Linked DNA regions of Mus musculus. The protein of the gene in region 2 purifies or fractionates together with the protein of the main gene of each other region. This does not show direct contact. Links are inferred from orthologs where the notes say so. Each region holds a gene or a part of one and is shown on either strand. Other genes may lie near its edges. The genes, in order: Tnfaip3, Casp8, Nlrc4, Birc2 and Nol3.

Evidence for each region.
Region 1: the proteins of Casp8 (region 2) and Tnfaip3 purify together in Homo sapiens (affinity purification with western blotting; 3 studies listed by BioGRID and IntAct, with this or other methods). This does not show direct contact. The link is inferred for Mus musculus from reciprocal best matches to the Homo sapiens genes CASP8 and TNFAIP3.
Region 3: the proteins of Casp8 (region 2) and Nlrc4 purify together in Homo sapiens (affinity purification with western blotting; 3 studies listed by BioGRID and IntAct, with this or other methods). This does not show direct contact. The link is inferred for Mus musculus from reciprocal best matches to the Homo sapiens genes CASP8 and NLRC4.
Region 4: the proteins of Casp8 (region 2) and Birc2 purify together in Homo sapiens (affinity purification with western blotting; 4 studies listed by BioGRID and IntAct, with this or other methods). This does not show direct contact. The link is inferred for Mus musculus from reciprocal best matches to the Homo sapiens genes CASP8 and BIRC2.
Region 5: the proteins of Casp8 (region 2) and Nol3 purify together in Homo sapiens (affinity purification with western blotting; 3 studies listed by BioGRID and IntAct, with this or other methods). This does not show direct contact. The link is inferred for Mus musculus from reciprocal best matches to the Homo sapiens genes CASP8 and NOL3.

The regions. Positions count from the first base shown.
Region 1 is NC_000076.6:19,003,825-19,009,686, reverse strand, and holds part of Tnfaip3 (tumor necrosis factor alpha-induced protein 3), read left to right. Parts: intron 1-1,351; coding exon 1,352-1,542; intron 1,543-2,357; coding exon 2,358-2,505; intron 2,506-2,653; coding exon 2,654-2,824; intron 2,825-3,955; coding exon 3,956-4,136; intron 4,137-4,355; coding exon 4,356-5,230; intron 5,231-5,862. UniProt on the Homo sapiens protein: Ubiquitin-editing enzyme that contains both ubiquitin ligase and deubiquitinase activities.
Region 2 is NC_000067.6:58,841,512-58,847,373, reverse strand, and holds part of Casp8 (caspase-8), read right to left. Parts: intron 3,031-5,862; coding exon 2,529-3,030; intron 753-2,528; coding exon 620-752; 3' UTR 1-619. UniProt on the Homo sapiens protein: Thiol protease that plays a key role in programmed cell death by acting as a molecular switch for apoptosis, necroptosis and pyroptosis, and is required to prevent tissue damage during embryonic development and adulthood.
Region 3 is NC_000083.6:74,455,324-74,461,915, reverse strand, and holds the start of Nlrc4 (NLR family CARD domain-containing protein 4), read left to right. Parts: upstream 1-2,807; 5' UTR 2,808-2,910; intron 2,911-3,221; exon of another isoform or gene 3,222-3,311; intron 3,312-3,322; exon of another isoform or gene 3,323-3,450; intron 3,451-6,592.
Region 4 is NC_000075.6:7,833,145-7,839,772, forward strand, and holds the start of Birc2 (baculoviral IAP repeat-containing protein 2), read right to left. Parts: upstream 3,914-6,628; 5' UTR 3,846-3,913; exon of another isoform or gene 3,082-3,845; intron 2,901-3,081; exon of another isoform or gene 2,236-2,900; 5' UTR 1,335-2,235; coding exon 361-1,334; intron 1-360. UniProt on the Homo sapiens protein: Multi-functional protein which regulates not only caspases and apoptosis, but also modulates inflammatory signaling and immunity, mitogenic kinase signaling, and cell proliferation, as well as cell invasion and metastasis.
Region 5 is NC_000074.6:105,278,405-105,283,759, forward strand, and holds the end of Nol3 (nucleolar protein 3), read left to right. Parts: intron 1-566; exon of another isoform or gene 567-569; 5' UTR 570-571; coding exon 572-866; intron 867-1,011; coding exon 1,012-1,371; intron 1,372-1,490; coding exon 1,491-1,498; 3' UTR 1,499-3,535; downstream 3,536-5,355. Other genes in the region: 4931428F04Rik (uncharacterized protein KIAA0895-like), read right to left, coding at 3,576-3,740, 4,583-4,680, 4,771-5,076.

The DNA.
Region 1 (5,862 bases), on a different chromosome or scaffold from region 2:
GCATTTGAGGATCTGAGACTGTGGTAGATGAGGAAGGGAGTAGGTGGCATAAAATTGAAACTTCATGAAAATTCCAGCGTCTATTGGCCGCGGCAATTTCACTTGTATAGTGAGTAGCCCGTTCCAGCTCAGCCTGACCACACCCACTTGGAAAGTCCAGGGTGCAGTTCACAGTTTAAATGTCTACACACCAGAACAAAACGTACAACAACTGTTGCTCAATTGCTAGTCAAATATCTTCGCACTGGGGAATTCCACATGTTACTTAGGGAATTTTATACTGGTGCATCTCAATAAAGAACTGAAAGTAAGCCCAAGAAGAAGAAGAGAAAAAAAAAATAGCCTTATCTTTGCTCTAGATTTTGCAAAGGGGAAATTTCAACAGAATGTAGCCCTTGCCACACATCGGCCTAGACACTAGGCTCTAGTGATCTTTTCTGTTCAGTAGTTTGGGAAACTGTTTGAAGCATGCACGATGAAGGAGCAGTGACCCTGAATATGGATTTGACAGGTTGTTTACTATATTTAGAATATGATGGAATTTCAAATAGCTTTATTGCCTTACTGACTGAATAGTATTAAATACACACACACACACTTTAAACTTTTTAAAAATTAAAATTATGTAATACTTTCCAAACAAGAATGAAGAGCGGACTAGTTTTATACTAAATGGTTTCCCCAAATGTTTACTCTTTGGGGCATGAAAAGGAATGCAGTCTGGGACTGGATGTAGCTCACTGGTAGAGAGCCCTGGCCTGAGATTCCTCAGAATGCACTGGAGGCTGGGGCAGGGCCTGCATTATTTGGTACTGTCATTCCTACTTTATAAGCTAGGAGAGGAAAATCCCAGGTCCCCACAGCTAAAGTGGAATGGGCATGTCACGTACCACTGAGTCATAGTCAGACCAGCCCTATCAAGTAGGCCGAGCCACAGTGGTTTCCTGGTGTATATAATGCCTTGGACGGCAAAGCTTCCGTAGAACTAGAGAATAGTGGTATCAAGGCCTTAGCCAGCAAACCAAAGATTACCAGGAAGAAAGGACTGTAGTGTTCATAAGCTGGTGCCCTCATCCCACAAGTACACAAGAAAAGACTTTCAGGGATGTTCCCATATCATACAGACCAGTTAGGTGCAGAGCCATGCTACAGTGGAGGCTGGTTGGCACCTCCCACTGCTGGCACCAGGCACTACATAGAAGAATGAAAAGCTTCCTTATAGAATGTTATCAGCTGGTTAAAAATCAACTTTACAGTCCCCAGCAATGGTCTTAGTGTCTCCTGATAACCTTGGAAGGGCATTTGCTTTGGGCTGCTTAACCTTGCTCCTCACAGCTCCTTCTGTCCTCAGGTGATGGAAACTGCCTCATGCATGCAGCTTGTCAGTACATGTGGGGTGTTCAGGATACTGACCTGGTCCTGAGGAAGGCCCTCTGCAGCACCCTTAAGGAGACAGACACTCGGAACTTTAAATTCCGCTGGCAGCTGGAATCTCTGAAATCTCAGGAATTTGTGGAAACAGGACTTTGCTACGACACTCGGGTATGTTTTGCTTTTGTGTGGCAGCCCTATCTGTGGTGGACAAAGGCTACTCTCGGCCAGTCCCTGTTCCCTGAGGAACATATGACTTACTAAGTCATATGAGTCGACTTAAGCATTGCCCACTCAGTGGAAAACACCAAGAACCTTCTGTGGGTTTAACCCGGGCTTTAACCACTCTCTGAGCTAAATCTGGACAGCTGATTCCTAGGTAGGCGATTCTATGTCTTCCAACCTCCTCTTGAGAACTTCCCAGAGTTTCCTGGCTTAGCTGAGCCAACCAGTACTGGGGAGAATGTACCTCGTAATCTTCAGCCACAAGCTGGGAATGGTTCTGAACCAATGGAAGCAGAGCTTCAGGGTCGTGGATGTTCTGTTTGTTTTTGAGCTAGGGTATCATGTAGCTCAGGCTGGCTTTGAACTTGTTATGTAGCAGAAAATGATCTTTCTGCCTCTACCACCACAGTGCTGGGATTGCAGGCATGCATCGCCATGTGATTTTAGGTGGGGGAATCAAACCCAAGACCATGCTTGTTAGGCAAGCATTCTTCCAACTGAGCAACTCTTCCAACTGAGCTAGCCTCAGCACCCCCAGTGGGGGATTGTTATGAAAGCAAATGCTGTCTGTATCTCCCTCCCATCAGTTTTGAGCTTGCCCAGCAGTTGAGAAAAGTAAAGGAACCAAACCAAAATTGGGGCCGAGGATGAACATTCTTTTGATGAAGAAGCGTGAATGGAGTTTCTACAGCAGACAGATGCCGAGTGAGCGGCCTCTGAGTGAGTTGTTAATCCATCCCTCCTATGTTCTCTCCCCTTAGAACTGGAATGACGAATGGGACAACTTGGTCAAAATGGCATCAGCAGACACACCTGCAGCCCGAAGTGGACTTCAGTACAATTCCCTGGAAGAAATCCACATATTTGTCCTCAGCAACATCCTCAGAAGACCCATCATTGTCATTTCAGGTGAGGTGCCTCAGAGAGTTTCTAGGTTCCCTGGGTGAGTTTCAGCTCTGAGGAGAAACTGAGCCCCCCTGCAGCTGTCAGCCTACAGTGGAGGGAGCATCACAAAAGTCACCTGGGGTCTTATCTTGTTGTCTCTTTCCATCAACAGACAAAATGCTAAGAAGTTTGGAATCTGGTTCCAATTTTGCTCCTTTGAAAGTGGGTGGGATTTATCTGCCTCTTCACTGGCCTGCCCAGGAGTGTTACAGATATCCCATCGTCCTAGGCTATGACAGCCAGCACTTTGTACCCCTGGTGACCCTGAAGGACAGTGGACCTGGTAAGAAAACATCAGTTCCTATTCATGATCCTGATGGATCTTGGAGTTCCAGGCCTTGCTTTTTGTTCCCAGTTGACATTGTTTTGTTTAAGTTCATTATCTTGTCATCAGTCACGGAGGATTAAATATCCCTTCTGTGAGGTGCTTAGAATCAATATCATTTTAGGCTTCAGAGTCTTGACCATATCAGCATCCCTAATCAGAAATCTACATGCTCCCAAGTCAAGTCAGATTCGAGGGTTTGAGATTTTCAGATTAGAGTCAAACATGTTTGGCCCAGTACTGCAATAGCAGTGAACATGCTATCTGTCCCCTTATCTTCTTTGGTGTGACTTAGGAAGTGCATGCAGCATAGTAAACATAGGTTGGACAGTCATGTGTGCATACTTCCACCCCTATTACTACGTGACCCAATTAAGGTGCACAGAGCCTCAGTATCATGTTTGGCACAGAGCAGGTAGATGTTTAGCTATTATTGTAATACCTTAGTGTATAGTGAGCCCTGTGCTAGGGCGCTAGGCAGCATTGTTTCATTCCACTCTCATGGTGTCCTTCTGAGATGTTGACAGGAGTTGTCTTATTTTATTGATGAGGCCATGGAAACTCAGAAGGGTTAAATGACATGCCTAGCTTGACATTGACAAAATCAAGATTCTAACTCAGGTCACGCTGGGAGGCGTGAGAATTTAACCAGTTCAAATCTACTGTCTCTTTGCTGTGGTTACAAAATCAGCTTAGGTGACCATCAACAGATGGATGGACAAAGATACATCCATGATACATATACACAATGGAGTTTTATTCATCCATAAGGAAAAAGAGAATTTTGTCATTTGCAGAAAAAAAGATAGAGCAGGAGATAATTATATTAAACAAATAATACAGACTGAAAAACAACATATTTTTGTCTCATATATGGAATCTAGATTTTTTTTTAAAGGGTAAAAGGCATGATGGAATTAAAAGGCAGACGATGTTGAAAGATGGGGTGGGAGGCAGCAGGATGCTTTCCTACTCTTTATATGCCTTTTGTAGCTTTAAGTTAGAATCATTACATGACCATATCTGCACCATCATTTAGCAGGATAATGTTTTACTCACACATTCTTCTTTTTTTTTTTTCCCCTTCAGAACTTCGCGCTGTTCCACTTGTTAACAGAGACCGGGGTAGGTTTGAAGACTTAAAAGTTCACTTCTTGACAGATCCTGAGAATGAGATGAAGGAAAAGCTTCTAAAGGAGTACTTGATAGTGATGGAGATCCCTGTGCAAGGCTGGGACCACGGCACGACTCACCTGATCAACGCTGCAAAGTAAGCAGGCTCCTTTGACGTGTCCTCCTGGCTGGAGAACCTCTCATGGTGACAGGAAGTGCCTCTCACGAGCACTGGATGTGTCCTGTCATAAGCCTGCATTTTGGTGCTTGGTTATGAAGTTATTGCCACGACTGCATTGTGGAAGTGGGTTCTGGGAGCTAGTGATAAAAGGTCTTGTGTTATTTGGGGTCACTCATTTTCCTCTTTGTTCTCTAGATTGGATGAAGCTAACTTACCCAAAGAAATAAATTTGGTAGACGATTACTTTGAGCTTGTTCAGCACGAATACAAGAAATGGCAGGAGAACAGCGATCAGGCCAGGAGAGCGGCACATGCGCAGAACCCCTTGGAGCCTTCCACACCCCAGCTATCACTCATGGATATAAAATGTGAGACACCCAACTGTCCTTTCTTCATGTCCGTGAACACTCAGCCTTTATGCCACGAATGCTCAGAGAGGCGCCAAAAGAATCAGAGCAAGCTCCCAAAGCTGAACTCGAAGCTAGGCCCTGAAGGACTCCCAGGCGTGGGACTTGGCTCCTCAAACTGGAGCCCCGAGGAAACCGCTGGAGGACCTCATTCAGCCCCACCCACAGCACCCAGCCTTTTTCTCTTCAGTGAGACCACTGCAATGAAGTGCAGGAGTCCTGGGTGCCCTTTTACTTTGAATGTGCAGCATAATGGATTCTGTGAGCGTTGCCACGCCCGGCAGATTAATGCCAGCCACACCGCAGACCCTGGAAAGTGCCAAGCCTGCCTTCAGGATGTCACTCGGACCTTTAATGGCATCTGCAGTACCTGTTTCAAAAGGACTACAGCAGAGCCCAGCTCCAGCCTCACTTCCAGTATCCCTGCCTCCTGTCACCAACGCTCCAAGTCTGACCCCTCACAACTCATCCAAAGTCTCACTCCACACTCTTGCCACCGGACTGGAAATGTCTCTCCTTCTGGCTGCCTCTCCCAGGCTGCACGGACTCCAGGAGACAGAGCAGGGACAAGCAAGTGCAGGAAAGCTGGCTGCATGTATTTTGGGACTCCAGAAAACAAGGGCTTTTGCACTCTATGTTTCATCGAATACAGAGAAAATAAGCGTGAGTGAAATCAGAGATTGCCTCTTGCTGTAGCTGCTGTCTAGAAAGGGCCTTGAACATCAGGAAAGTAGCCTATCTCAGCAATCAGAGCAATTGCATCTCACTGCACCTTTCTCTCTGCTTTTGTACCTGAAAGCAGTAGACAGCAGCTCTAGTTACCATGGGCTCTAAATTTAAAGTGTCCTAGAGATAAAATTCATACTAGCCTGAAATAAACCCATTATGTAGCCCAGGGAGGCCTCAGAGTCCTGGCAGTCTGTATGCTTCTGCCCCAAGTGCTGGGATAGAAATCCTGACATGCCCTGCCACACCAAACTGTAGGCTGGTTTTAATCAGGCTATTAAGTATCTGCCATCCATGTAGAGTTTAGACTTCAGCAACGTTGGCGAGATATGGTCTAAAGAGGGCTAGCAAGGAACACAAACTATCTACAGACACCAGGAAAACATTTGTGGCTTAGGGATCTCTCACTAAAAGGCTGGTAAATAGTTAATGTCTGCTGTTTGGTCTTTGACTGATCGGTGATCTGTGTTCAAAGTTAAAAATCAGTAGCGCCAAAGTTACTGATGTAAGTTTGGTCTCAAGTACCTGTTTAAGGCTGTGCTCATCTGTGCTGGGACCCATTTCTTCTC
Region 2 (5,862 bases):
TCACCCCCTCTGTTAACTTGCCCCAGGTCCCTGCTCCCGTCATTCACCCATTCTGTTAACCAGATTCATGCTCCAGTCTTGCTTTCTTACTCATGCATCTTCAAGTTTTCTTTTTTGTTTTTTTCAAGACAAGCTTTCTCTGTGTAGCCCTGGCTATCTCAGAACTTGCTATGTAGAGCAGGTTGGCTTTGAACTCAGAGATCCTCCTGCCTCTGTCTCCAGAGTGCTGAGATTAAAGGTGAACCCATGGAAGCCAATTTGTATTGCCCAACTATTCTTGGGAGAGGGACCTGCCTTGGAGTGTGATTGGCCTACCAAAGGTCGCTCCATTTTTTAAAAAAAGCAAAACAAAACATACATACAAGTGATAGTATACAGGTTATATTTAGAAATGTGTGTGTGTGTGTGTGTGTGTGTATGTATGTGTGTGTACAACAGTTAATGAGAAAAGAGGCCATGTATTTGAAATTGGAACATAACAAAGAAGGGTTTAAAGGGAAGAAAAGGGAAAATTATGTAAATGTAAATTCAAAAGCAAAAGAAATTCTAAAAAATAAATTAGACTCATCCACACAAAAGTGCACAGATAAGCCATGTGAACTGTGGAGAGCACACATCATTAGGGAGGGAAGAAGAGCTTCTTCCGTAGTGTGAAGGTGGGCTGTGGCATCTGCTTTCCCTTGTTCCTCCTGTCGTCTTTATTGCTCACGTCATAGTTCACGCCAGTCAGGATGCTAAGAATGTCATCTCCTCTGAAAAAGAAAGCAGCGTAAGCATATGGGACAAGGCAGTGTCCACCGTCTCACTGGCTGTGCCCACCGTCTCACTGGCAGTGCCCACCGTATCACTGGCTGTGCTCACTGTCTCACTGGCTATATCCACTGTCTCACTGGTAGTGCCCACTGTCTCACTGGCTGTGTCCACCCTCTCTCTGGCTGTGCTCACTGTCTCACTGGCTGTGCCACCCACGTCTCATTGGCAGTGCCCACTGTCTCACTGGCTGTGCCCACCCTCTCACTGGCTGTGCTCACTGTCTCACTGGCTGTGCCACCCACATCTCACTGGCAGTGCCCACTGTCTCACTGGCTGTGCCCACCACCTCACTGGCTGTGCCTGAGGTAGGTTCTCTAGTTCTGTCTCTCAGAGAGAGCATCGGACATTTGCAGTTGAAAGTCACTGAATCAAGACCTCTCACCGCTGTTCTGGCAACTCAGTTTTCTCAGAGCACACAGAGTTACTTTTGTGTACTTGGAATCTCTGCTGGTTACAAGAAACCAGAGTTCCTATCAGATTTGCTTTCCTTCTCTGTTAACCTATGTGTTCCTCCATGTTTCCCATGTTGCCATTTGGATCTCACAAATGCCTCCCTCTCTTCCCCCAGTACCCTCTGCCTAAATCAGCATTGCTCCTACAGGATCATCCACAGATTTCTACTAAAATGTAGGCAAGTAAAGGCTAAGCATTTCCCGTAGCTACCTCCCCATCTCTGACACCAGCAGTCTGAGCAATCTTGTGGAGCAACCTCTTCATCAATCTGCATAGCTGACATGGATCCTGTAGGACTCAGGGTCTGTGTTACAAAATGAAAGCACTGCGATGGTGTTCCTGTCTACTCTCCACATGCCATGGGAAATTCTCACTCTTCAGACACCAGACGATAAGACAGAGATGTAAAAGGAGCCCGTAGAAGGGCTCCTCATTGTTCAGCTATCAGCCAGGTGTAAGTGGGAGGGAACCTGAAGTATGGAGCCCTAATTTAACTGGAGATGAACCATATGCCACAGGGCTATCATCCCACACTTGTGGATTCCTAGCAGGTCAAATTAGTAGAGATATAGAGGTCCCCTGCTCTTCAGTACGGTTATAGTTTGCTAAGAAGATTCAAGGCTAGATAGCAATTGGAGAGGATTTCTTTCTTAACTTTTAAAAATTACATTTACTTATTCACACAGGCACATGACATGGTTCACATTTGGTGGTCATAGGACAATTTGAAGGAGTTGGTCTTCTCCACCATATAGGCCTCTGGGGATCTAATTCATGTTATAAGACTTATAACCAAGTGCCTTTACCCAGTGAGCCATCTTGCCAGCTCTAAAACATGGCTTCTGACAAAGGTGAGGTATGTTAAACATAGTGGTTTGCTTCCATCTGGGAAGACTCCCCAAAGGGGTTGAGTTGCCTTAGTCAGTTACTACCCAAAGACAGAGCTGGACTGTGTGGTATTAGCAACCTCTCTGGCTCTGTGGTACCTCGGTTGCTAAATAAAGGAAACTCTTCAGTAAACATATTCTTTTCCCATCTATGAACTAAGGAGAACAATACGTGCCATCTCTCCCACTTTGCCACTGACCTGGGAAATACAACTGTGTCAGCTACAGCTAGACATTCAGAGATGGAACATGCCAATGGCTACTTCTCTGCTTAGTATATATTATCTCGGCCATAAAGCACCTTCTAATGGGCTCTAACCACAGAAATGAGTAAGGAAGCATAACCCTGAGAGGGGCCCAGGAGGCCAAACTTACTGAGGACATCTTTCCCTCAGGCTCTGGCAAAGTGACTGAATATACCAGGTTCCATTCACAGGATCTCGGTAGGAAACGCAGTTCTTCACCGTAGCCATTCCCAGCAGAAAGTCTGCCTCATCCGGAATATAGTTCTTGTGAGATGATGAATCCACTTCTAAAGTGTGGTTCTGTTGCTCGAAGCCTGCCTCATCAGGCACTCCTTTCTGGAAGTTACTTCCTTGGCAAGCCTGAATGAAAAAGATCTTGGGTTTCCCAGACAGGGAAGGGCACTTTGAACCAGTGAAGTAAGATGTCAGGTCATAGATGGAGGCCTCCTTCCCATCCGTTCCATAGACGACACCCTTGTCACCGTGGGATAGGATACAGCAGATGAAGCAGTCTTTGTTCTTGTGGTCTGCGCTTTGGTAGCCTTCTAGAATCTCGTGGATTTCATTTGCAGTGCAGTCGTCGTAAGATACTATCTCAAAATGAAGCTCCTTAAAGGTCTTACTCAGAGCCTCTGAAAAGTAAGATGGGAAACCATGAATTACAATCATTCCCAGAACACAGCCTGTAGGCAAGAACCAGAACCTGAGCGGTCCTTCTGCATCACCACCAATCGGATTGTACAGGCTCCTTATGTTTATTGTTGCCTGCTGAAAGTGCTGTGTACTGCCAGCTGGAACTTTGCTGAGTTCTTGCACCATGAGGATTCATTTCTACTCTCATTCTTTTTGACAGTCTAGCTAGATATAGCATTCGTTCCAAAATCCCCTTTCCTCTGAATTTTCATCTTTTAGCTTCCAGATCTGCTATTATGAAATTCAGTGATATCCTGATCTGTGACTGCTCTACGTATCTGACTTGTCCATACCCCTCCCTCTCAATCTCAAAGATGCAACAAGCGCTTTCAGACTGGAGAACGTACACTCACTTCTTGCACAGGTCCATTTCCTTGTCTTTGTCTTATGGCTCTCATGGTCACAGATCTGGCATCTGTGACCAGTATTCTCCATTTCAACTCCTATTGTTCCCATTTTCCATCAGTGTTTTCTTTTGGTCTGACTTCCTGAGTCTTAACCTTGCATATGTTTATTGTTGTCCATGTATTTTAAATGCTTTACATTATCATTTTGTGTGTACGAGTGCTTTTATCGCATGTATGTGCGTGCCAGAAGAAGAGAGTGACTCCTCTGGAACTGGAGATACAGGCAGCATGAGAGCTGCCATGTGGGTGCTGGGAATTGAATCTGAAGCCTCAGAACAAGCAGTCAGTGCTTTTAACTACTGAGTCACCTGCAGAGAGAGCATCTTATGTGCATTGTATGGATGCACTACCTGTCAATTAAAAAGCCTATGGCCTATGGCTTAGGCAGGAAAGAGAAGGTGGGACATTGAGAGGAGAAAGAATTCTTGGTAAGAATTGGTAGGAATTATTTTATGTATATGAGAACACAGTAGCTGTCTTCAGACATACGGGAAGAAGGCACAGGATCTCATTACAGATGGTTGTAAGCCACCATGTGGTTCCTGGGAATTGAACTCAGGACCTCTGGAAGAGCAGTCAGTGCTCTTGAGCCATCTTTGAGCCCCATTTCTGTATCTTTTTTTTTTTTTTCAAGACAGGGTTTCTCTGTGTAGCCCTGGCTGTCCTGGAACTCACTTTGTAGACCAGGCTGGCCTCGAACTCAGAAATCTACCTGCCTCTGCCTCCCGAGTGCTGGGATTAAAGGTGTGCGCCACCATGCCCGGCACCCATTTCTGTATTCTTATACTTGTTATAGGTATATTGTATACTTATAAATGAATATTGTTCCATTTAACTTGTCAGCTCTCAGTATAAACATAAGTAGGCTGCCCCAAGGCAGGTCTCACTAGTTTAGCATCTTGCTGGGAGCTCACAACTCCTGCTGCAATTGAGAAACTTTCATGAGCAAACTACCCAGAGTAAGTAGGATACCATAGCAATTGGTTTTGACTAATTCATTCTCCAGAAATATTTTTCATTTAGTTGAGTTAAATGTAAAGCTCAGGGCTAGAGAGATTGCTCAGTGGTTAAGAGTCCTTGCTGCTCTTGCATAGAACTTGTCCTGTTCTGGATCCAAAGGCCCTCGCACACACAAACATACACACACACACACACACACACACACACAAGTATACACACACACATATGCACACACACAAAGGGGCATACATAGAAATATATATATATATATATATATATATATGAAATAAAATTTAAAAAAATTTTAAAGTTCATTGATGCTCTTCATTATAAATGTTAGAAGGCTATCATTTTCAGCTCAAATGGAGGTCCCAAGGCCTGACCCTATTACTAAGGCTATAGAATACTCACAAAAAGGGACCTATCGTGACTGCCCTCTGAAAGACCCAACAAGCAGCTGAAAGAGTCAGATGCAGATATTTGCAGTCAATCAATGGGCAGAAGCAGTTGGCCCCTGTTGTTGAATTAGGGAAGGCTAAAAGAAGCTGAGGAGAAGGGCAATTCTGTAGGAGGACCAGCAGCCTTAATTAATCTGGACCCATGAGATCTTTCAAACATTGGACCAGCAATCAGACAGCATACACCAGCTGATATGAGGCCCTCAACACACATAGAGTAGAGGACTTTCAGGTCTGTGTTCATTCACAGATGATGCATCTAACCCTCAAGAGACTAGATGCCCCAGAGAGTATAGAGGTCAGATGAGCTGGGGAATGTGGAGATGGGGTGGGGTGGGGAGGAGGTGTGTGATGTGGAGCAGTCAGAGGGTGGATGGGGAGAGGCCGGGAATGGAATATGGAGTGTAAAAAAATGAATTACAAGTAAAATAAAAAACAAAAACAAAAAAAGAAAGCTATCATTTTATCATGATGAATATATTACTTTGATTTTAAAACCTATTTTTTGAAACAGCAGAAAATAGATATGTAAGAAATATAAATAAATAAAATGAATAAGAAATGCTTGATAGAGAGGTGAGCTGCATGCTGTGTCCACTCCTCCTATTCCCCTGCCCCCAGCACCATGGCCTTTCCTCTCCAGGAGACCTGCCCAGCCTCAGGAACATCCAGGCATGTAGGTCCCCAGGAACACCCAGATTAGACCCTACCTCACCTATCCTCTGACTGCTGATTCCACCTGGGGCACAACTACAGACAAGCTTTGCTCTGTGACATTGGCAAGCCCATGGCTCTGCCTCCCTTCCCTAGAAGGAGGCCTGCTAGACTCCAGGAACACTTAGGGCCACCTGAGGTACAGTCAGCAGAGGTGAGCAGCTTGCTGTTTCCTGAGCTCTCTTGTCAGACCCAAGGCTCTGCCTGCCTCCCTGAGGAGTACTGTCAGTGA
Region 3 (6,592 bases), on a different chromosome or scaffold from region 2:
GTTATGAGAATGCCTGGTTCCAGGAGGTTGAGTTTCCTTGAAACTCCCTGCCTCCGAGTGCTTCCAGGCCTCTTGGCCTGCCAGGCGGACTTCACTGGAGTGTGCATAGCAATTTTTATTTATATTTATTTATTTTGGTTTTTTGAGACAGGGTTTCTCTGTATAGCTCTGGCTGTCCTGGAACTCATTTTGTAGACCAGGCTGGCCTCGAACTCAGAAATCCACCTGCCTCTGCCTCCCGAGTGCTGGGCTTAAAGGCGTGTGCCACCACGCCCGGCGCGTAGCAATTTTTAAAGTAATTTATATGGCTGAAGTTTGTTTGTGATGGCTGAAGCTATAGTAAAAAGTTTTTGTGAATGTTTATTAGTATTCCATTTGTATGTTTACTTTTATTTTTATTTTTATTCTGCACGTTTTGACTGTGCATATGTGTCTTCATGTTGTGGTGACCCCCAACCATAAAATTATTTTTCTTGCTACTTCATAACTGTAATTTTGCTACTGTTATGAATTGTAATGTAGGGGCTGGTGAGATGGCTCAGTGGTTAAGAGCACTGACTGCTCTTCCGAAGGTCCTGAGTTCAAATCCCAGCAACCACATGGTGGCTCACAACCATCTGTAACGAGATCTGACGCTCTGAAGACAGCTTCAGTGTACTAAACATAATAAATAAATAAATCTTTAAAAATAAAAAATTAAAAAATTAATTGTGATGTAATCTCTTATATGTAGGCTATCTGATGTGTGACAGCCCCCCTTCCCCCCACCCCATAAATGGTCGTGACCCACAGGTTGAGAACCCCTGAGCTGATGTATGGGTACTCACATTGGACATACATGGCCAGCTAAATTAATATGTCAGAATAGGTTAATATGTCAGAATATGGGGGGGGGGTTGTTTTGTTTGTCTGTTTGTTTCTGAGACAAGATCTCTCCATTATGTAGTTCTCCTGTCTTGGAAATCACTATGTACACCAGGCTGGCTTTGAACTCACAGAGATCTGCTTGCCTCATTTTTCTAGAATGCCTGGCTTAGAATGTTCTTTTTAAAACAAGTAGTTGTGTAACATTAAACAACAACAAAAAAAAACCTACAACAAAAATTAAAACAGTCTCCAGCAATTTGTGCAAAGACAGAGGAAAGAGTTGACAGAGAGCACTGTTGACAGAGAGCAGCGAGGCCTCTCTGTTTCAAGCTGAGTATGTCTTAGCTTTCTAGTATATTCGGGGATGCTGAGTATGTGTATGTCCGCTCAAGTCCCTGGCTTTGTGAGTTCAGAAGAGTCTCATGCATTATCAATCGTGTGGACACCTGACTAGCCTGGGCTAACTTGCCCCGACCCCAGTGACTGAGAGTACAGCTTTGCTGGAAACCAAGGTACAGAGATAAGTTTGTTTGCCTCTGTCCTCAGTGACAGTATGCTTGAACCAACCAAACCAGAACATTTCACTTTCCATCTTTTCTCTGTCCACCTCTTAATCCCCATTCATTATGAAAAAACCGAGTGAGGCATAGTGGCTCATGCCCACAATCTTCTTAGAAGGCAGAGGCAGGAGGATCAGAAGTCCAAGATAAGACAAGACATGCAAAAACCATACTGAGTGTCTAAAATACCAGAATTAAGAGTCCAGACAGAAGCTGATCAACTGATTAGAACTTTTTTTTTAAAGATTTTTATTTACATGAGTACACTGCAGCTGCCTTCAGAGACACACTAGAAGAGAGCATCGGATCTCATTACAGATGGTTGTGAGCCACCATATGGTTACTGGGAATTGAACTCAGGACCTCTAGCAGAGCAGTCAGTGCTCTTAACCACTGAGCCATCTCTCCAGCCCCTTTGAACTTCTTTATTATCCACTTCTGTGTCTGACCTATCGGGCAAAAACCTGTGGGATTTATTAACAAAGCTGGGTACCAGCTCATAACAACCCAGATGGCTCAAGATGGCCTCAGATCTGGAGTCTTTACCAAGGCTTTCTTTTCTTTGCTACAACCTGCCTACCCAATGTTTCCACCAATGTATTTGAAATTATGTTGATTGATGACTTTTTTGTTGTTGTTGTCCTGTTAATATAAAAGCTTCCTGAAACTAAGTAGTGATGTGCCTTTAATCTAAGCACTCAGGAGGCAGAGTCAGGTGGGTCTCTGTGGGGTTCAAGGTAGCCTGATCTATACTGGGAGTACCAGGGTAGCCAAGGGTACGTAAAAAGAGTCTGTCCCAAAACAAAACAAAACAGAATAACACACACACACACACACACACACACACACACACGCACACACGCACACGCACACACACAACCTTCATGGAACAGTTGCTGCTTTTGAACTTTGAGTACCCTGTCTTCCTGGGCCTTGTCATTCAAAGCTTTCTCATTCCCTTTGCTTGGAGAAATAAACAGTTGTTAACTCTTTTTTTTTTTTTTTAAATGCAACATACCTTTTAAAGATTTATTTATTCATTTTTTTTTTAATGTATATGAGTACACTGTTGCTGTCTTCAGACACACCAGAAGAGGGCATCAGATACCATTACAGATGGATGTGAGACACCATGTGGTTACTGGGAATTGAACTCAGGACCTCTGGAAGAGCAGTCAGTGCTCTTAAAGGCTGAGCCATCTTCCAGCCCCAGTTGTTAACTCTTTACCACATGAATAACCAGGAAGCAAAGAGTGCCTAAGTTCAAAGTCCCTACTTCCTGGCTACTCAGTCACTCCTTTTTCTTGCTACGTAATTATGTAAATACCCCGATTATTATGGTTCTTAAGCAAGAGAAGAACCCACCAGGCACTTCCTTTTTTCTACAGTTGTCTCTCATGGACAAAGAAGTTTGGATTAAGAAAGAAAGAAAATTACTTTTAAGACGACTTTTCCTTCGAAGGCAACTGGATTGCTTGGCCAGGTACCTCGGGGAGAGGGAATAGGTTTTTAAATCAGTTTTAGAGTCAGATCCTGAAATTAGAATTTAGGTCCACTGAAGCCTGTGTCTGTGAGGTTGTCCTGCAGTGGATGGTTTGCCCATTGGGCTGATTTGCCTGCAGGGAAACTTGGTTTGAGGGTAGGCAGTGTTGGGGGCGGGTGGTTAGCCTGGTTGGTCTGTTGGAGTTTAGCTGCGTTTTTCTGAGTTGGTGTTAAGGATTTGGAGCCCTAGAGAACGCCTTTGTATTTACTATGGAGACAAAAAGACTTAGAAAATGCTTTTTGGCCTCACAGGAAGGAAACCCAGAGCTGAGGGAGAGAGAGACTGCTTGGTCCGTCCAGTGTCCTGAGCCTCTGACAAGATACTTGAACTTGGACAGAAAAGTTAAGCAAGTCCCTCTTGGGGATAGGAAGAATGCTTATAGAAAGTGTGTTACAGACCTGCGTTGTGTGCTGAGGTGTTTCCAGCCCCAGTGTGTCTAGGAAGTGCTTTACAGACTTGAGTTGTGTGATAACAGATAAGGTGTGTCCATTCTTTATCTCAGAGCATCTTAATAACCCCGTTGCCGGGGTGGAATCAGGCTCTCCTAACTTCCCTTAACCTCTTTTATTCTTCCAGTCTCCCATTACTCCCACTTGTGCCTATAGACAATTTTCATACACTATTTACATAGCACTAAGAGTATTCAGTGAGCTGCGGGTGTCCAAAGGAGATCTAAGAAGATTCTAGATCAGGACATTTTTATACTGGAATGATAGATGAATCACAGGGACTGGTGGCCTCTGTTCCATCCGTCTTCCTGGTTAATCATCGCTATAGTCCCAGGCTTGGAGCAGATGTGAGTGCTAACAGTTCAGCAAAGGAAGCATAATCCAGAGGCAGGGGAGATGCTCAGGGGGAAGGGGCACTTGTCGCCGAGCCTGTTGACCAGAGTTTGATCCCTGGGACACAGATTATTCCAGGAGAGAACTGACTTTTGCTAGTTTTTCTCTAATCTCTACACAAATGCCGTGGCACTCTCGAGCACCCCTACCCACCCACCCACCCACCCACCCACACACACACACCAATCAACCAATGTGAAAAAAATTTACACATGCTGCCTTTCTGTAGCCAATTATATGAGTTCTTTCCCCCTAGTTGTGGGAGTGACACACGAGACGTAGGTCAAGAAGGATTTCAGTTTTCTGAGGAACTCACATCACGATCTGAAAGAACATTATCACTTAAGCTGGATGTGGGAGCTCATGGCAGTCATCTTCACACTGAGAAGGCTAAGACCAGAGCGTTACCATGAGTCTGAGACTAGACTGAGCTAGACAGTGAGTCCCAGGCCAGACGTGGCTATGCTGTATGACCTTGTTTCAAATAAGAAAGAGAATCTTATTTGCCAAGGCATGAACATAAGAAAAGGATCGCTTCCACACAATTCCGGTATTTTGGGTGGGTAGGAAGATTTTCAGGGCATGACTCCAAATCCAGATGGTCAAACTGGTCACAACTCCACCTTGTTTTGAATTGTATGTATGTATGTATGTATGTATGTATGTATGTATGTATATATGTATGTATTTGGTTTTTGAGACAGGGTTTCTCTGTGTAGCCCTGGCTATCCAGGAACTTAACTCTGTAGACCAGGCTGGCCTCGAACTCAGAAATCCACCTGCCTCTGCCTCCCAAGTGCTAGGATTAAAGGCATGTGCCTGGCTTGCCTTGAATTTTTAAAGAATTAATTTTTGTTCTTAACAATTATTTTTAATGTGTGGTGGTGGTGGTGTGTGTGTGTGAGTGTGTATATGTGTGTGTATGTGTGAGTGTGCGTGCATGCATGTGTGCGGGTGGGTGCACATAAGTGCAGATACTCATGAAGGCAGTTGTGAGTTGCCCAACATGGGTATTAGAAACCAAACTCAAGTCCTCTATAAGAGCAGTTTGATGGTTTGTACCTGCTTAGCTCAGGGAGTGGCACTATTAGGAGGTGTGGCCTTCTTGGAATACGTATGGCCTTGTTGGAGTAGCTGTGTCACTGTGGAAGTGGACTTTAAGACCCTTGCCCTAGCTGTCTGGAAGCCAGTATTCTGTTAGCGGCCTTCACATGTAGAACTCTCAACTCCCCCTGCACGATACCTTCCTGGATGCTGCCATGCTCCTGCCTTGATGATAATGGACTGAACCTCTGAACCTGTAAGCCAGCCCCAGTTAAACATTGTCCTTATAAGAGTTGCCTTGGTCATGGTGTCTGCTCACAGCAGTAAAACCCTAGATAAGACAAGCAGTATGTGGTTGGGTTTTTTCCCCCTCTTTTAAACTTTAAGTATTTTCGAGGTTATATTTTAATTACGTTTCTCCCTTCTTTTTCTTCCCTGTAAACCTTGCCATATGCCCCTCCCTGCTTGCACTCTCTCTCTCTCTCTCTTTCAATTTATAGCTTCCCTTTCATCAACTCATATCACATGCAAAGGTGTACTTATATATACATTTATATTCCCAAATATAGCCTGTTGAGTCGGTATGTTACTTGTATGTGTATCTTCGGGGTTAACCATTTGACGCCGACCATTTGATTGTCCCTAGGACAGGCTCCCTGCTTTACCAGGTTGTCTGTAGTTCTTCCTGTAGGACTGAGTCCTCATGGGCCTGCCACTCCCAGATCCAGTCCCCCATGCAATTTGGCTTGTTCGTTGGTGTCCTCCTTGTTCAGTTCATGTTTGGGAGGTGGTGTTGGTGAGACTCTATGGGTGTAGCTTCTGACATTACTAGAAGACGCAATCTCCCAGTAAACCCCTGATCCTCTGGCTCTTACAATCTTTCCACCCTCTTGTGGGTCTGTGTATCTGAGGCTTTCCATGGAGATCTCTGGCCCTGCCAGGTGCGAGGGTTCAGGCCCAGGGGAGAGAAGGAGAGCGGGGAGGGGGAATTGCCTCTGCCTCCACCTCTGCCTCTGCCTCCGCCCCCACCTCCGCCTCCACCTCCACCGCTTCTCTTCCAAACAAAACAAAACAAAACAAAACAAAACAAAACAAAACAAAACAAAACAAAACAAAACAAAACAAAACGCAACGCTGCACCAGCTCTGCTCTGAGTCGGGCCCTCACTGGCGGGAGGCTGACTAGCCAGCGAGGGATTCGAGGGAGCTTCTGCTGGCATTTCGGGAGAGCAGGTGGTCTCTTCCCTGGCGGTGGTGTTTCACAGCTCTTATGAAAGACACTCTCAGAAGAGTAGTTCTCACACACCTTTATTCCTTCTGGATAGGATCCTTAAATACAGTTTTGGGACTAGTCAGGGTCTGACAGCAGGTACTTCCAATTAGCTTGGTCTGAGAGCTTGCAGATACCTTGTCTACATGTCGGAGGGCTCTAGGTGCTGCCCCTACAGGATTGATGGCCACCAACATCTCTACAGGGTGGGTGTAGGGCTGTGGGAGGCTGTGGTTACGTGACAGAGGCTTGGTTCTGGGAGCAGGCAAACTCGTCCTGTTCCTTCAGGGTCTCTGAGGCTTCTAACCTTAGCTCAACCTTACCAGGTTTCCTCTTACAGTCCACTGCCCCACATCCCCTCTTATAAGATTTATTTCTTTTATCTCAAGTGTTCTGCATACTTATCTCTCTCTATATATATATTGTGCATGCCTGATATTCTATGGGGCGGGAGGATCCCTTGTAAC
Region 4 (6,628 bases), on a different chromosome or scaffold from region 2:
TAGAAATGAATCCAAGTTCACATAGCTGATCAGTTTCAAATACAAAATTTCTAATTGTAATACACTAACAATGTGTTCCTAAATTTATTCTAAACAATAAAAATTAAGAGGTAAGGTATATAGGCAAGAAAACTTGTCAACCAGATATGAGGCCCTGGGTTCAATCCTCCATGCCACAATAAACATTTTTAAGAACCAATTATCAAGGCTGGCAGTGGTGGTACAGACCCTTAATCCTAGCACTCAGGAGGAAGAAGCAGGTAGATCTCTGAGTTCAGACTTGTCTACAGAGTGAGTTCCAGGACAGCCAAGGCTACTCCAAGAAACCCAGACTTGAAAACAAACAAAAGAACCAATTACCTTGGAAACCATTTGGCGTGTTCTATCCAGGGGTCATCTCCAGGTTCCCAACATCTCAAGCCACCATCACAACAAAAGCACTTGACATCATCATTGCGATCCACGTAATAGAATCCAGCACTTGCAAGCTGCTCGGGCTGAACAGGAACACTAGGTGGCCAGTACAGAAATGTCCTCAATCGAGCAGAGTGTGTCTGCATACTTAGATTTGATATACTAAACCTCTGTGTTTCTGAAGTATTTTCCAGAAATGGACAGTGGGGAAAATGTCTGCGGTGCTCTGACATAGCATCATCCTTTGGTTCCCAGTTGCTCAGTTTCCCACCACAGGCAAAACAGGCCACCCTGTCTCCAGGCCCTATGTAATAGAAGCCAGCTCTGGCCAGCTCTGCTGGTGACAGAAAACTTAAAGGCCACATACTGTAAGTAAGAAATCTGGCCTCTTCTGTACTCATGGCATAGCTGCAGGGATCCATCCTTGATGAGAAGTCTTCCACTGCTCTAGAATTAAGAGGGCTAGAGCACAGGTTGGAGTGAATGCCACCTCGTTCCAGAGGTGACGAATGTGCAAATCTACTTTTCACAGGAGACATATTCTTAGATGGAGACTGCAGACTGGCTGAAAGCAGAGTCTGTACAAAGCTGCAGCTGGGATAGAACTGTCTGTGCTTTTCAACAGGACTGTCCCCTTGTTTCCAGTTATCCAACATCAGGCCACAGCAGAAGCACTTGACTTTGTCATTCACACCTGTATAATAAAAGCCAGCACGAGCCAGACTCCTCTCTGAGACAGGAACTCCCCTGGGAAAAGCTGAATATGTAGACATTCGGTAGAGTTCACACGAAAAGTCAAACTTCATTTTTTCTTCGCTCTCCTTTGTCCAATTTGACAAGATTGTGCTCTTCTCCATTATACGTTTAAGTTTTTGGTGTAAGGTACCTTGGCCGAGTCTCTGGGAGACAGTTTTGTCCATGAGTAGTAATAGTATTTCTGACCGCTTAAACTTCCAGATGAAGTTTCTCACCACTTGACACTAGATCTCCACCACAGACACCTGACTGGATAGATTCATTGTCTTCTGCTTGGACTGGTGAATTGACACCCTCACAGGACAAATCTGTCTCACTTGCCAAGACACTAGTTAGGACTCTTTGGGGGTCACATGAACTCTTCTGGGTAACCTGAGATCTATTTACCCATAACTAACTTCTTATTACTAGTTATGAAGCCTAGGTACTAGGGCATATATTCAGGCTCTTTTCCCTTATAAGGACTTAAACATGACATCTGAACTACTCCTTTTCCTATGAAATGAAAGGAACTGAGTGAAGTCTGCAGCTGGTTTTCCTTAGAGAAGATGTCATACAGTATTCTCTAAAGTGGGTTACATCAACTGCAGCAGTCAGCTCAGGTCTATTAAGACTACAGTATTCACTGTAAAGGAACTGCGCTTAAAGCACAGACTGTTAACTCCCTCACTGTTAAATCTTCTATATCACCACCTTGACTCTGTATATATCATGTGAATACATCTGGTCAACAGACAGTATTTTGCACATAAACCTAAGACTGCATTTTATAAAGTCCGCCTGTGTTTAAGGCCCTTTCCACTATAAGTCTGTTATAATTAAGAACGAATCAATTCAAGACATGGCTTTCTTTTGTTACCTCAAATAACTAAGAATCTGTTTTAGCAAAGCTTTTCTGTTGCACTAGCCTTCTTTTTGAAAACTTCGTATTTTATATAACTAATCATACACAAGAACACACTGCAAAGCAAACCGCAGCGTCTTATAGAAATGTTCAGATGTCCATGAGTGGGCTGATTTCTAGAAAAACATAAGAGAACATGAAGACTCTTGAGGACTATCAATCTGAAAGAAAAAAAAATATTTTAGAAAACTAATTACACAGAATTGTCATCATCAATTTATTCAGTAATGTCTAAAAATGACACACTCTAGATAACAAATCTTGACTACAGCAGTTCCTCACCCAACCAGTCTACTTAGAAAGGGTCTAAATCAAAACACACCACTGCAAAAGCATTCTCAAAGTACTAGTTATGCTTGTCTTTAAAATGCATAGCTCAGTATAGTTTAAAAATTAAAACTTTGAAAACAATGGACATTTCCATTTGTCAAAAACTGGCCCCCGATTTTCAAGTTTGTTCCTTTTATATATTATTTATTTACTATTAGAAAAAAATGTACTATACTTCATGAACTTTTTTTTTTTTTAAGGGACAGGGTCTTATTCTGTAGACTAGGCTGGCTAGAAAGTCAATATAACCCAAGCTGGTTTTAAAACTTTTTGGAATTCTCTTGCTTCAGCCTTCCAAGTGCTAGGACCACACTACCACCAGGCTCTTTTCGTTTTCTGATTTAAAGATATTTTGATATGCACTTCACTGGAGACAAAAGGCACCATAAATAGTGGAAAGGTAGTCTGTAAGGCTACTGATATAGCTCCATGTTAGAGCACTTGCCTTGCAGGTAAAGAACCCTAAGTTTAATCACAAGAAAAAAATTATATATACTTTTATATTCTATTAAAACATTTAATTGAAATATATAATACAGATATAAGTACATATAAAATATATTTATACACATAAACATATGTTAAGTTATAATACAATATAAAATAAATAATATATACGATATTTTCTATTATATTAAAATATAAATATTTCCTGAGGATTCCCGAGGTATACTTGCAATTTTAATCTCAACACTTGGAAGACAGATGCGGAATGAAACGCTCCTGCCGGACAGAACATTTGAACTAGCCAGGGCTAAATTAGCCAAGATAAAGGCACCGGGAAGAGCTCATAAACGGAATCCGTGAAGGACAACCATTCCCTAACCACCACAGGTAACATCTCAAAACCAAAAAAGTACAAGTGCCGGTAAAGCAGTGGCCTGAACAAAGCTACCACTACCCGTGTGGCCTAACTACACTAGCTGTTACAACGCCAGCAAGCACCCAACCGACACGGCTCTACGCCCACTGCAGGGGGGCGACACGTAGCTTGGAGAGACAAGAATGGAGAACACCTTTCCCAGTTAAACCAAACCTCTCACACGACTACTGGGGACAAGTAGTAACTGATGTGACAACCGTCATCCCCCTGCCGCACAACTTAGTTTAAAGGCATTAAATGCCGCGGGCTTAAAGCTTAAAAACCTGCAGAAAATCTGAAGAGACAGCCGAGGTGCTGCACACCAGTAATCCCAGCACCTAGAACGATTGGAGGCAGGAGGATTGCCGCAAATTCGAGACTAGCCTGGGTTGACTGAAAAAATAAACCGAAAGGAAAAGAAAGCAAAACTGTTATACAAGTCCAAGCCCAAGGACTTAGGCAGGGAGCGGGGGTCGGGCGGCCCTGAGAACTGCCTTCCGGGCCGAAGGAGGAGTCAGCTAGCCCGCCCAGCCGTCGAGAGCCACGCTCGCCCGTCCTGACGAAGGCAGCCGCACTCACCACCGAGTCAGGCCCCCGGCGCCCTGGAAGCAGAGGCGCCTGATTGTTGATCCGCAGCCTTCCCAAAAGCCCCTGCGGCCAGCGGGCCGTTGAGGTGACGTCAGCAGACGCGCACCGCAAGTTGGAACGCGTGGAGGACGGGGTGGGGCTGTGGGCCAGTCGCGCGCGCCTGCGCCTGCGCTCGCGCCTGCGTGCTCGGGCTTTGGAAGCTAAACGTTCGGGCCGCTGGGACTCGGACGAATAAGGCTAGGCTTTCCCGAGCGTCCGTCCTTGCCCCACTGCCTCCGCTGGGCGTTCCGGACTTTGATGCCATGTGTTTTAACCTGCAGTGCACCTTTAATGGCGGCAGCCCTGAGCCGCGCCTCCTAGCTCCCTGTATTTTCCGGCCTCACCCTGCAAGGGTCCTAGACAGGCACTAAGGCAAACGTGGCGTCATAGGTAAGGCGGCTCAGGCTCGTGAGCTGGCCTCGAAACGCCTGAGTAAAGCGGAATGCACGCGTGTGCGTGTACATTAAATATAATTTGGTTTTTTTGTAAGATGGGCTTTAACATTTTTGACAAGTGGGCTCCTCTGGCAGGCCGGCATGGTGGCGCTCACCTCGAATCCTAGAAATTCAAACCCAGTTGGGGCGAGGAGGTAGTTATGCATTTTTAAATTATTATTTTTTTTAAAAAGTGCTCTTGCAGGCGACCCAAATTAAGCGCATCAGGCCATAAATTTAAAAAGTAAGGAAAAGGCTGCGGACTAGTTTGGAGGAAGGCATTGAAGGGTTAACAGTATAATGGGAGAGAGTATGATTAAAGCGCACTATATATCTGTGATGAGATTGTAGAAGAATACGTTTAAAACTGGAAAAATAACCCTGACTTCATTGTTCACTAGCAGTCTGTCTCCCCACCCCCCACCCTCTGCTGCCTTTCCCGTACCGAAAGTGCTGCAAAATCATTAGCATTCAGGGTAGGACTTTCTGATGTCCCCACCCCCACCCCCGCGGCCCTGTTTGGCTTGGATGATTTGTTATGGTTAGTTTTGCAGTTTTTTTATTTGTTTGTTTAAGAAAGGATTTTATTGTAGGGCCCAGACTAGCCGAGGATTTAGCATCCTACCTCAGCCTCCAGTGTGCTGATTAGAAATGTAGGCTACTACCAGTGAGGTTTCTACAGTTTAATTTACTTTAGACTTGAAGGTCTTAACGAATGAATCAGATCTTCTCTCCGGGGGAATTCCATGTTAAATGGGCAAATATTTTAAAAACTTAGAAGTAAAACAGACCGCTAAATTAGGCTGCCAGGGGAATTCCGGGACCCTGAACCGTTTCCCATTTTCTTTCCCGTCATTTCTGCTGCAAGTCGGTCAGTCACAGAACAGGCAGTCTTCTGGTCTAAATGCTGATAATAAAAAGAAAGTATTCATGACAGTTTCTGATACACAGAAAAGACGTGCCAAGGTTCCCAGTGACTAAACTTCCAATGGTACACATGTGCCAATGCCTTGTTCAAGTCACTACTTCTTGGAAAGTTACACAAAACATTCCTAATATGTGTGGGAATCTAGCAGGGCCTGTGCACATTGAATTCAAGAATATGTCTCTCTCAGTTCTTGTCCTGACCTACTTCAGTATTTAGGAAATTTTCAATGCCCAAAACTCAGACGTTTTAGAACTTATTACTTCTTTTATAATATATAATCTTGGAGTCCAGTTGTTTATTTTGTTGACCATTAATTCAACTAAGACTTTCCCTATTGCCCATGTAGAGTTTGGTAATTTTGAAAAATATATTTTATTATTATATAATACACATATATACATATACTGATGTGGTTATCATGACATCTTTCATTTTATATACAAAAAAGTATACAGTTCAGAGTGGAGAGATGGCTCAGTGGTTAAGAGCACTGACTGCTCTTGCAGAGGTTCTGAGTTCAATTCCCAGCAACCACATGGGGCTCACAACCATCTGCAATGGGGTCTGATGCACTCCTCTGGGGTGTCTGGAGAGAGTAATGGTGTACTCATATACATAAAATAAATAATTTTTTTAAAAAAAGTATACAGTTAAAGACACTTTTGAAGAAAAATATGATTGAAAAGACTTCTACAACATAAATTGTATAATAAAACCAGGGGCTGGAGAGATAGTAATTAGAGCACTGGCTGCTCTTACACAAGACCCTTGTTCAGTTCCTAAAATCCACATCCTAGTTCACATCTGTAACTAGAGTTCCAAAGGATTTGACACCCTCTTCTGACCTCCATGGGCACTGCATGAAAGTTAATGCGGTGCCCAATCCCATTCAAGCAAAACGCACATCCAATAACATATATAAATGAATAAAAAGCGTAAGTCTGCACATTCTTGTTCATATGCCTTTCTCTGTTTGCTAAATCTCAGAGTCCGCTCAGAATTAGCACACAGAGACACAAATTTAGTAGTATTGGTGATACACAGCATAGGTTCAGCATAATATTATACTATAACTTAAATATTTGACTTAAAATTCAATGAAGTGGCAGGGATAGTGGCTTAGGTAAGAGGATTTGTTTCAAGATCAAGGCCGGTCTGGGGAGGAGGTGGACTGTGTACAGTGAGAGAGAGAAAAGAAATAGGGAGAATTCGAGAGGCCAAAATGTCTGGATTGCATTCCCCCTCTGGGGAGAAGGGCAGCCCAGCCCCTGGGTTGGAAAATTCAGTGTTAGGAGCAGGTTATGCTGGATAAGGACTAAGGGATGCTGGGAGAACCTGAAGGCCAGGTCTGCTGTGATATGTAAAATGTGCAC
Region 5 (5,355 bases), on a different chromosome or scaffold from region 2:
GTGCTACGATAACCTGGAAGAGTCCCAAGACTATGTTGAGGCTGCGGACGGTGGTGAATGAAGGGGCAAGGTTCTGGGATGCCTGGACCTCCGTGTTAGGTGAATGGAACACGGGTGCCTTGGCCCTTCGGGTGCAGACCCGATTGTATGAGCGATCAGGCAGGCTGCCCTTGATCCAAGGTTTGCTGCAGGGGCGAGGAAGAAGGTATGAATCAAGCCTAGGGTTTTCTGCCTATTTAGGTAAGGAATTGGGTTCAGACAAAATAATTCAGTTGGATAAACTGGGTCTCAACTGGTAGCCAACTGTGCAGGTGTCTGGGGCTTAGGAGGGAGGGAGGTCCTAGCTGGGAAGAGCACTCCACTGACAGGTGGAGTCTGCAAAAGAAACCTGAGGAATCAGGACAGAAGCAGCCAAGAAGCTGGAGGGTGCGTTCTGGGCCCCTGGCCTCTAGGTCTTGCGCTGAGCAACCATCCAGACTCTGATGTTGAGGTGAACTTAGATAACTCCTGGTCAGCGTAGAGTAACGCAAATTACGCCCCGCCCCCTTCTCTCCTTCTTGACACAGCAGAAATGGGCAACGTGCAGGAGCGCCCATCAGAGACCATTGACCGGGAACGGAAACGGCTGGTAGAGACATTGCAGGCTGACTCTGGGCTGCTGCTGGATGCGCTGGTGGCCCGGGGCGTCCTCACTGGGCCCGAGTACGAAGCCTTGGATGCGCTGCCCGATGCAGAGCGCAGGGTGCGCCGCCTACTGCTGTTGGTGCAGAGCAAGGGCGAGGCAGCCTGCCAGGAGCTACTGCGCTGTGCCCAGCAAACAGTGCGCATGCCAGACCCGGCCTGGGATTGGCAGCACGTGGGGCCCGGTGAGCACCAAGAGGGTGGAGCCTTGATGAATCGAAGGGCGTGGATTAGGGGCAGGGCGAAGCAAAGGGTAAATGGAGGGCAGAGAATTTGGAGGTAACCACAGAGGGGTGAACTGAACCTCAAGTACTCCCTCTTCCTTCCCAGGCTACCGGAACCGCAGCTATGACCCTTCATGCCCAGGCCACTGGACGCCAGAAGCACCCAGTTCAGGGACCACATGTCCTGAGCTGCCAAGAGCGTCAGAGCAAGAGGAGGTCGGAGGTCCTGAGGGCTCTGAGGCACTGCAGCCTCGAACTCCAGAGGAGCCAGAACTAGAAGCTGAAGCTACTGAAGGGGATGAGCCAGACCTGGAACAAGAAATGAATCCAGAACAAGAGCCGGAGCCGGAGCCCGAGCCAGAACCCGAACCCGAGCCCGAGCCGGAACCCGAGCCCGAGCCAGAACCCGAGCCCGAGCCGGAACCCGAACCCGAGCCCGACTTCCAAGAAGAGGATGAATCTGAAGGTTGTGAGAGCGCCTAAACCCTTGCTTGCAGGCTTGTTACGGGTTGTGGACTGCAAAGTGTGTGTGTGTGGGGGGGGGGGGTTGATCCCTATTCCACTAACCATCATTTTCATCTCCAGATTCCTGAAGGCCAGAATCCTTAGCTGTCCAATCCTATTTGTGCTGGATAAGACCTGGAAACCTGCCAGAGCTTGACCCCATCGATGCACCGAGACACCTACTGCCAAATGAATAAACTCAGGAGGGTCAGTCTGTTCCTGACTCTCCACAAGTCTGGCTCTTTGCTCAAGAACTGAGGGTGAGCGTGGGTCTGAATCCCACTGACCTGAGCAGGCTTGTGTGAAAATACCCCCATCCCCTCAAAAACATTCCACTTCCCAAAGAGCCCAAGCTGTAATTCTGGAGATCTCAGATGCAGGCCCCCAAATCTGACCCTCCCTCACCCACTTTATTCCCCTCAGGGGCCATTTGGGAGGCCGAGTGGGCAACACTTCTAATCCATGGAAATCACTCGGCTTGGTGTACCAAGCAAGTGAAGGGGGATGTCCATCCACACATGGAGAGAAGTCTTGGCGCTCACAGTCTTGCAGGGAGGACCTGAGAGGAAACTTGAGTAGACAGAAGCCACACACATCATTGTAACTGCTGTTTAATTGTCTGGCTTTCCTCTGAACTGGGAGCTCAGTGAGGGGCGTGGGGTCTAACCAGTCACAGACATACACAAGGAGCTCTGCACATATCTACTAAGTAAATGAATACAAACTTCCCAGCTGTGTTTCCAAGCTTCACAGATGGAAACATTAACTGAAAAGCCAGGGTTAGGACAGTACTAGCTCACTCTCCCACCGCTGAATCTGAAGTGAAATGAAAGCCTTAACCAGCTCTGTACTAATCCTGGCCTGAACGTGGGATAACAAACCCTAGGGCCTGCCCTGTAGGTTTGATTGTGGTTGCTCCCGCCTGTCCTAACCACTGCCAGAGACCAGCTGTGAGGCTGTGGTTAAAGACAGGCACAACCAAGACTAACATGGGGACTGAGGGTGGGACCAGGTGCTGGACTCACAAGACACAAGACACAGTGTGTCTGTGTGAGTGATAAGAAAGGGGGTCTAGGGGGCTGGAGAGATGGCTCAGTGGTTAAGAGCACTGACTGCTTTCCCAGAGGTCCTGAGTTCTACTCCCAGCAACCACATGGCGGCTCACAACCATCTGTAATGGAATCTGATGCCCTCTTCTAGTGTGTCTGAAGACAGCTACAGTGTACTCGTATACATAAAATAAATAAGTCTTTGAAAGAAAAGAAGGAAGGAAGGAAGGAAGGAAGGAAGGAAGGAAGGAAGAGAGAGAGAGAGAGGGAGAGGGAGGGAGGGAGGAAGGAAGGAAGGAAGGAAGGAAGGAAGGAAGGAAGGAAGAGGGAGAGAGGGAGGAAGGAAGGAAGGAAGAGGGAGAGAGGGAGAGGGAAGGAAGGAAGGAAGGAAGGAAGGAAGGAAGGAAGGAAGGAAAGAAGGAAGGAAGGAAGGAAGGAAGGAAGGGGTCTAGGAACATACGGTACTTTTCCAAAGGATCCTGCCCCTACATGGAACTACTACTACTACTACTACTACTACTACTACTACTACTACTACTACTTCCGGGCCCCGCCTGGAGGCATGAAATGACCCCATGAGGGCGACTATGGAACAATGCATGACCAGTGAGACAGACAGAATGCTGAAAGGCAAAGCCCAGCCCAGCTGGGTCTCTGAGCCTGAGTGACAGCCGGAACCCCATGCTCAGGCAAATCACCTCAGAGGGGTTCCCAACTCCTGCTGGCCCCAGTGAGAGGTAGAGGTATGAGTGTAGAAGGAGCACCAATCGGCCAGGTAGGGGGAAGGGAAGGAGTGGTACCAGACACCCAAAGCCATCTCATGCAGGAACAAGTTTCTATTCCCAAACCAACCCACATTTCTATTCACACTCAGCTCCCATCTCATCGCCCTCCCATCTCCCCTGCTCAGGAGTTTATGTGACATGCTGCTGCAGTTCACAGGCCCCAGGAAGGGTAGCAAGGACAAAAACCTTCTAACGTTGCTTCTCATCTGCCCACGATGCTCCTGGCCTCCCAAATGCCCCCAAGAAACACCTAGGCTATGGAACCATAAAGAACTTCATATTCCGATCTGTGACCTCTGTCAAGAGCGTCTGTCTATAACCCTTAGTCAACATCAGTCAGGCAGCAGGCGGCCCAGCTCCGCTTCATCCAGCCGGTTGGTGGTCATGATGTGTTCCAGCTGCTGCCGGTAACGTTCCAAGTCCTTCATGAAGTGGGGCACTCTGGTATTGTCTAGCACCCCGTAGGGCCGCAGTTGTTCCACGTCTTCATAGGAGACCTATAGGAAGCAAACTGAGCCTCAGAGCTAATCAAAGTGCCTGGCTTTCAAGTCCAGGATCTACCCATGGCTCAGGGCCATTTGCTCCTGAGATGATTGTGTATATTCTTCATCGACTCCTACAATAGATACCTTCAGGCTCTGCCCTGGATCTTCTATCTTTCTCTCTCTATCTTTTATCTACGTTGTACAACCCATTCCTCTCCAGCCCACCTTATCTCCTCACCTCTAAATGGTATCCAACTGATACCTGGGTCTCTCTCTCGGGTTATCTCCCACATCCAACAGGAGACTGTTGAATGTCAGCTGTCTGTCCTCCCCTCTGCATAGTCACCACAATCAGGTCCAAGAAAGGCCGACTAGGTTCTCATTTCCCCATTCAGGGAGTCCAACAGTTCTTTTATCTGTAGTTTATAGCTTTGCCATTATCAATTCTGTAAGAGTGATGGAAGACCTCCTTCTCTTGCCTATCTAGGTCTTCCATTTCCTGCACTTCCCACAGAACATTCAGTTGGAGCCTTTTAAAGAAAATCCATGCCCACACATTTACGATACTCCCCCCCCCCCTTTGCTTCTATCGAGGTTTGCCTCAACCTGGTACAAGACCTGGGCTTTGGTCCCTGGCCATTTCTCCCACCTTCTTCCCCAGAACTTCTTGACCTCTCCCTGCCTTGGAGTGCTCACCTCCCTTAACACCTATGTACACATCTGCAGGCTAGGTCACACACCTGATCTGTGCTACCAAAACTTTGTCTCATTTTGTCTGCCTTCCCAAGTGTCGAGGCCTTCACCAAACATAACTCTAAAGAAGAAAGAGCTGGCTGGGCCTTTCGGCCCTTTACCTTGCCCAGCGAGGTCAGCAGCTGGAAATCAATGGTGTGCCGGTGCCGTAGGATGCGCAAAATGCCATCCAGGTACACCTGGTCCTTGCTGAAGCAGCCTGTGAGAAGGATAACCAATCGAGCCTTACCCAAAAGCCACCCTTCACCTTGCGCCAGCTTGAGCATTCTTGCGACTCCACAGTTCCCACCTGGCTGGGAGGTATCCGTCTGTCCTCGCTTGGCACGGACGCAGTACTCCCAGCGTACACCCTCGTCCTGCACGTACTGCGCCAGATCCTGGAAGAGCTGGCGGAAGGACATGTGCGCCGCCTGGTGGATGGTGTAGTAGAGCAGGGCGGCGCGCCACAGGAATGGTTGCTTTCGAAACAGCACACTATGCAGGCTAGCCAGGCCCTCCTCAGTAGGGTTGGCTGGCTGAAGGCCGTACTGCAATCTGCCTTCAGTGCTGTGCCACGGTTGCCGCGAATTATTCACACCACGCAGGTAGTGGGTGCCTGCAGGGAGGAGGAGGAGGAGGGGGCGGAGAACTCACTCCAAGGACCTCTAGTAGAGACTCTTAGATCCTCGTGCCCCGCCCCAAAATTCACACCCTACAAGTCATCCCAAGCCCTACCTAAATCCATTCGCAGCCTACTCCAGACAACTTCTTGGTTCAGGGCAAGCTCTTCTCTACTTACGTTCTCATCTCCTTCGTCCCAGTTCATTCTGTGTGCCCCAGCCCTCACAGATACTAAGCACCTGCCCGCTTCCCAACATCCTAATGCCCGAGCCAA